Kluyveromyces lactis: one gene and its partner. The protein of the gene in region 2 interacts with the protein of the main gene of each other region in a biochemical or structural test. Links are inferred from orthologs where the notes say so. Each region holds a gene or a part of one and is shown on either strand. Other genes may lie near its edges.

Region 1 (3,362 bases), on a different chromosome or scaffold from region 2:
ATCATTTTAAGTCCTTATTCATTTCAATAAATGAAGTGTAGTTTATTAACGTACCTTAGAATGCATACGACCCATTTTGACTGATTTTCTTAACGGTGTTGATTGGTTGCTGTGATGTACCACTTGAAATGCAATAAATTAGATATAAACATTCAATTGAACAATTATAAAGTAAGATAACACTGATATCGTTATATTAAAGTTATGGAAGGTTTCAAACGTTCTCGAGATAGCTGTTCTGAAAAATACTCAAAATATTCTGCATACTTTATTGCCCTATTTGGAAATCATTATGATAAATTCTTTCCTTGCGAATATATTTATATTGATGGTGTACTGGTGTTATTTTGGCAGTCCTGGTTGAACTCTGTTCACGTGACTTATGTTTCTCCTCCATCAAGCTGCTACCTCAAGATCGATACAAACGATACGCCAATGAAAGGACAGGTGTCACAGTATTGTCAATGAACCCTTGGCTCATAAGGAGATTGAATATGGGTTGTGAAATACCGGAATTATATGGCATACATCTTTAACTAATTGATGCTACCCAATTTGTAGCAACTTAAAGAAGGCATGCAAAAGTATGTTATTACTTAGCTTCGATCTCTTGTTTCAATTCTTCTATATCGTCTTCATCTTCTAGTCCGGATGACACCTCAATGTACTTATTAACTGCACATTCTGCTCTCACCATTTCCAAAGCACCTGCATATAGCATCTTCCATTCTTGTGATACCACAGTGGCTGGTTTCCAATACAGCAATACGAGCGGGGTCTTTTTCCTTCCATCTCTTGTGGTCATTGGATAGGATAGAAGCACAAATCTCGGCATATTATCAGGCAGTAGTTCAGCCAAATCTTCCAACCGGTTGAAATCTTCTAAATCTTCGTCATCATCGATTATGATCTCGTAAGATGGCTTTGGTTGAATCTTGATGGATTGGATCTGTATGTCATCCGACCTGGCAGTCGCTGTTCTGAATTTTTTGATTTGATTCTTAGTTTCATTACTAAAATGATATATAGTCGACATGTTCCGTTGAATCAATATTCACCTGGATCGGTTGGCTTGTTTGTTTTCCCCTGTATTCTTCAATTTCGAGAATACTTCAACGTTTGTAAAGGATGGGTTACGTTTCGCTTTCACCTGTTGCTGTTCATAATTCACAGATTGGCTTTTACTTCTTGTTATATTATCTATGGATTTTCATTTCCCTTTGATCTCAATGCAAAATATAAATCTGGAAAATAGTGCTGTGATTCAAAATAGAAATAAGATCAATAAAGGTAACGTTATCATTACTGCTGCCTGGCGACAGACTTTTTTATATTCTATACAAAGAAATTCGGTTGAACTCGTGACAGTATTTACAAGTTATGTGTGGTTCGGTTGATTTCAACTATTAATAGTATCGTTAAGTCGTAACATTTTACAACTAGCACACCCAAGGTTGATACCTAAAGAACAGGGTATTAGAAACCATCGAATAATGATGGGTCTTTGTCGTAAAGAGACAGTACGTTGAGTACCTCCTTTGCATTATAAGCAGTCATTGTCATAATCATTTTACTGTACGTTTTCAGGTTTGATGGAGGTGATAATTTTACATGGGCAGACCAGCTTGAGTTTTGCACAGTGTTGCTATGATACTGCTGGAGTTCCTCTTTAGAAGAGTTGAGGTAAGATGTAAGAGAAAGTTCTAGTTTACCCAGGTTGAATAATTCGATTAAATTCCTTGCCATTCCAACCGTTCTTGGTCGATAAATGTCTATGTCGGCACAATTCACAACATCTTTCAAGATGGAGAACAGTTTTAGAAGGATCTCTCTGACAAGTGCTGCTAGCTCTGGATCTCTACAATTCAGCTTGAAATACAGAAATCTTATTATTAGTCCAAATAATACAGCCAATGTTCTGTTAGTTACCAGACAAATAACGTGGGAAACGACGAACTTCGAAGGTGTTTTCATTAGCCTTAGACTTTGCAAACCCATTACAAAGGACTTGGCTATTTCCACTGCTGCAGTCAATGTGAAGAACAAATGACTCCAGAATAGTGGAGACTGTGTTCTCTCAAAGTGGAAGAACAATAGTGACTGGTTCGATAATTTTTTGACTTTGAAGAAATAGCCCCACTTGAATTTATTGAAGTCATTGAATATGGAGATATTTATTGGCACACCTGGTAGAATTTCAATTTCTTGTTCCTGCTCAATGGAGAATTCGTACGAAGGTTGTGTCAATTTAAACAAGTTGAGTCCATTATTCTCATTGATCTTGAACTGTATAAACTGTTCATCGTCCAATGTGCGCTCCATATTTCTGTTACTGATGATTAGCTTAAACAATTGATAACCTTTTTTCAAAATGTGCTTAATCTCTAAATTGTGTTTCCCTATATCATCTAAAGATATGATTTCTTCCAAAGTCTGTGAATCATCCAACAAATGGGCATCATCATAAAACACAGAATTGTCAAATTGATCATGCACTGCACCACATAAAAGCATATAGTGCAGGTTGTTCCAACAAACAAGCATCCACATGTTCGAATCTTCATCTCTGATTGCTACCCCCATATCATTGATCATCTTACAAAGTTCACCATCACTCCATCCGAAAACCGAATACATATCATCGTGATCTTCTAATAATAGCATCAACCTGAACAGGATAAGCGTTTGTACTTGAAGCTGTTCGTTATCCTTTAAGAAATGGATGCAATGCGATAAGCATTTAAGGTGTTGATCTTCGATCGGATATTGTAAACACCATTTAAAAGACGCATGATTAGGTTCGAACTTCGTAAAATACGAGAATAACGATAGGTAACCTAATCTTAGTGCCATCATTAAAGTTGTAAGGAACTTCAGACTAGTTTGTAAATCGTAATAGTATTGCCTTTGTTCGATAATCATCTGGTATAGTTGTTCAAACTCATTGACGTCTAAAATTGGATATGGGCCATGAACATTGGTATAGAAATGTGATAAGATGGTTCTCATCTTATCTTGTGGAGGCAAAAGGCTGAGCATATCATCGATGAGTTTAGTTGGGCTGTCAGATCTTTCATTTCTTATCTTATCTACGATTCCTTCAACCGATAACGGTTGCAAAGCATTGCTTGCCTCTAATATGCAACTGAACCAAAGTGACGAATTTGCTGGATCAAGTTTGATGAGTTTTGATCCAGTTAAGATTTGGGATACAAGGAAATAATGGTAGAAGGGATCTTTGATGACATAAGAATAAAACTCGTTGGTGGTTTCAAATCTAGCTCTAAGATCATATTCTGCAAAAGAGGTATGTACAAATTCTGGGTCATTTTCATGAACCTTATGAGTTTGTTCATATCGCA
Region 2 (4,050 bases):
AATCGTGAAGAACTCTACACTCAATTACAAGGTAACGTTAAGATCACTTTTCCCATCCAATGTCTCTGCCAAAGATGTAACAGTTAAAATACCTGTGCCCCCAACCACGATTAAATGCGATTTTAACGTCTCTGGAGGAAAATGTAAGTACGATGCCGGAGAAAAATGCATGGTATGGAAATACAACAAATACAAAGGATCTACAGAAAATACTCTGAGCGGTAAGGTGGCAATCCCTGCTACTTCCCACGATCTATCTGATTTGTTAAGATGGTCAAGACCGCCAATATCAATGGGCTTCGAAATTGTAATGTTTAGTAATTCCGGACTTGTGGTGAGACACTTGAAATGTCAAGAACCACAATTGAATTATCAACCGGTGAAATGGATTAAATATATCTCACATTCAGGAGCATACGAGATAAGATATTAGTCCACTGAGTGGGATGACTTGTCCCTATAATGGTGTCTTCATATTAATGTGCAACGAATTGGTTTACAAAAGTTTACCCGGATATGTATATATTATTCATGTTTTTCCTATTTAAACAATGTAGTAATAATATTCCAAAAGTTTAAAGGAACAGAAAGCAGATTATAAGTCATCCTGCGATCTTAGTATGGGGTTTGCGATGATATAGACAATTTGGCCTTTGAAATTCCTATAAAATTCCTTTGTAAATTAAGAAGCTTCATAGATTTCAAGACTATGAAGACATTTTGCATTACCAGAAGTAATCGCTTATTGGTATAAATCTGAGAAAATACAATTCCGCACATCAGACATTGTGATATTCTTCTGTGAGATGCTTCCCCTAAATCGATTTCAATTGTGCGTTAAATCACAGATTGGGCTGCGACCATTTCAATCCTTGACAAAGTTAAAAGCATACAGTCCTGCTAGTCATGGATGTGTCAAGACGGGTCAGTTTGTGAATTTGGTGCCACGGTTCCCACTCCTGGCAGCTTTGAATCCCCGGATGAATCTTTTACATTATAACCAGAATATTTTGGTCTCTCCTGTGAAGATGGCGCTTCGAAATTTCCATTCTACGCCGAGAAACATGGTACTTGGTGGACGGGATCCTTTCAGAAAAAGTCCCTTTAACAATCCCAGATTTATCTTTTCAATCAGCCCTTTTTCCTTTATTCTTTCCACGTTACTGTTCGCTGGATTCATAACAATGATAGTATTTGTTTTGCCTTTCTTACTTGCTTTGCTTTTCCCGATGGTGATATTTGGAATAGGGTGGTATCAATTCAAAGCTTTTAGAACCAGGAAACTTATGCAGCTTTTGGATCATGCTTTCAATCAAACTAAGATGAAGCTTTCATCCACCACAAGGAGAGAATTGATAATGAAGCAAATGGTCCCAAAATTCAAGTCATTTACCCAGCTAAAGGACTTCAGCGGATTCCCCTTCAAGCTCTCTCAAGCATTTACAGATAAGTTTCAATCGGGAGAATTTCCCAACGCAGACAGATTTCTTTCCTTTGTGAAATCGAGATTAGATGAGAGTTTCTATAAAAACGAACACAACATCAAATCCATAGTTTTAGGAAGTGATACAGCTTATGTTCCAGGACACATGGAGTTAGTAACAAACTCGTACTCTTTTGTTTCCAGCGTCAGAAATAACGAAAACATCCAAGCTTTTTCATTTATGCTATTGAACATGGGTTCTGAGGGAGTCCGTAAACCAGTTGCATTGGTTTACATCGTTACAAAGGCAAACCCAGGGGACGAATTGTTGATGTTCACTGGTGACTACATTGATGATTCTAAGTTATCCCCGATGGTCATCTATGTACGTGCTCTCAGCCCATTTTCGAAATGTTGCTTCATTACAGACGTCGGAGAAACTGGAGCAAATGCACAATATAGTGTAAAACGAAAAAAGGACGGCAGTAAAGAATACACGTACGAAAGTGATTAAAAGAACTAACGCCCTCACCTAGGTACTGACATGACATTATTAAGAATCATCACTTCACAAAATCTATTTAAGTTGACACAAACCGTCACAATTTATACATATTCATCAATGAAATAAAAAAGATCATATAACACATATCCAAGCAAACTATAAGATTCATTTGAACCATATGAAAACATGCTTTACATGTAAATCCAACGATTTAGCGGCTATCTTGTGACGTGCCAATAGCTTTATACCTCCTGGATAAATTCTATATGGACAAACATGATCACATGATTTACGTGAAAAACGACATCAACAACATTGGGAAATAGGAGATGTTCTTAAAGAAAGAGAGGAAATAAAGGTTTATTTCATCAGATTTAATAGTGGAACTGGGGTAATTAAATCAAACGGACATTTGTGAGCATCTTCAACCCATTAATAAAGCGAAAATGGACCCACATACTCCAATTGTTCTTGATCAGGGTACTGGTTTCGTGAAAATTGGCCGTGCTGGTGAGAACTTCCCAGATTACACCTTCCCATCCATCGTAGGTAGACCGATTCTTAGAGCTGAAGAAAGAGGTCATGCTTCTACCCCATTGAAAGATATCATGATTGGTGATGAAGCAAGTGAAGTTCGTTCATATTTACAGATTTCGTACCCAATGGAAAATGGTATCATCAGAAACTGGGCAGATATGGAATTACTATGGGATTATGCTTTCTTTGAGCAGATGAAATTGCCAACTACATCCGGCGGTAAGGTACTACTTACCGAACCACCAATGAACCCCATTAAAAACAGAGAACAAATGTGTGAAGTTATGTTCGAGAAGTATGATTTTGGTGGCACATACGTTGCAATTCAAGCCGTTCTAGCTCTATATGCTCAAGGTTTGTCGTCGGGTGTCGTTGTTGATTCCGGTGATGGTGTTACTCACATTGTTCCTGTTTATGAATCCGTTGTTTTGAATCATTTGACAAGAAGGTTAGACGTTGCTGGGAGAGATGTAACCAGACACTTAATTGACCTTTTGTCTCGCCGCGGTTATGCATTCAACAGAACTGCCGATTTCGAAACTGTTCGTCAAATTAAAGAAAAGCTTTGTTATGTATCTTATGATCTAGACTTGGACACAAAATTAGCAAGAGAGACGACTACTCTAGTGGAATCTTATGAATTACCCGATGGGAGAGTCATCAAGGTTGGACCGGAAAGATTCGAGGCACCAGAGTGTTTATTCCAACCAAGTTTAGTTGATGTCGAACAACCAGGTGTGGGTGAACTTTTATTCAACACAATACAAGCAGCAGATGTGGATATCAGAACATCACTTTATAAAGCTATCGTCTTGTCTGGTGGTTCATCCATGTACCCAGGTTTACCTTCAAGGTTGGAAAAAGAACTAAAACAACTATGGTTTACAAGGGTTCTACGCAATGATCCCACACGTTTGGATAAATTCAAGGTCAGAATTGAGGACCCACCAAGAAGAAAGCATATGGTGTTCATTGGTGGTGCCGTCTTAGCGAACATTATGGCCGATAAAGACCACATGTGGTTATCGAAGCAAGAATGGCATGAAATAGGTCCTGCTGCAATGTCAAAGTTTGGACCAAGATAAATGAATGATTAAAACTCTTATATAATAGTACATTTGTATTACGTAGGTAAACTTATTAATGCACCCATAGGTTCATTTGCTGGCTTCTTATGGGAGCACAGCATTCATATGTTGCTTCTTTATTCAATGCAGGAAAAAAAGCCATAAAGACGGCATGTCAGAAGTGCTTTATCCCAGTACTGCCCTCAGTGCAATAGATTAATCTATAATTTAAATTCAGCTAGTTTGTTCCAAACATCTTCAGATAATTCTTCCACACGCTCATTATTGACATGTTTTTGATCGCAACCATAGTTTACTGCATTTTTTATCAAATCATGTATGAAGAATTTTGTTACGGTGACAGGATTAATTAATGCACCACTTAATAGCTGGTCAATTGTAACACGAGATATGGGATTTCTTTCCAAACATGATCTTATAGTGTCAATAACAGTTCTTGGTATCACTGTACCGAAAGAGTCTTTTTCAGGATAAGGAATCTTAACATCAGGATTCAT

The links. The genes of interacting proteins can lie anywhere in the genome.
Region 1: the proteins of ARP2 (region 2) and AIM7 form a complex in vitro, tested with the Saccharomyces cerevisiae proteins (2 studies listed by BioGRID). The link is inferred for Kluyveromyces lactis from reciprocal best matches to the Saccharomyces cerevisiae genes ARP2 and AIM7.

Annotation. Positions count from the first base shown.
Region 1 is NC_006042.1:1,650,555-1,653,916, forward strand, and holds AIM7 (Aim7p), read right to left. Parts: upstream 1,037-3,362; coding exon 593-1,036; downstream 1-592. Other genes in the region: RPS13 (40S ribosomal protein uS15), read right to left, coding at 55-75; KLLA0_F18084g (uncharacterized protein), read right to left, coding at 1,477-3,362. UniProt on the Saccharomyces cerevisiae protein: May be involved in mitochondrial organization and biogenesis.
Region 2 is NC_006039.1:351,272-355,321, reverse strand, and holds ARP2 (actin-related protein 2), read left to right. Parts: upstream 1-2,374; coding exon 2,375-3,550; downstream 3,551-4,050. Other genes in the region: APM4 (Apm4p), read left to right, coding at 1-433; MRX9 (Mrx9p), read left to right, coding at 807-1,937; serine/threonine/tyrosine protein kinase MPS1, read right to left, coding at 3,754-4,050. UniProt on the Saccharomyces cerevisiae protein: Functions as ATP-binding component of the Arp2/3 complex which is involved in regulation of actin polymerization and together with an activating nucleation-promoting factor (NPF) mediates the formation of branched actin networks.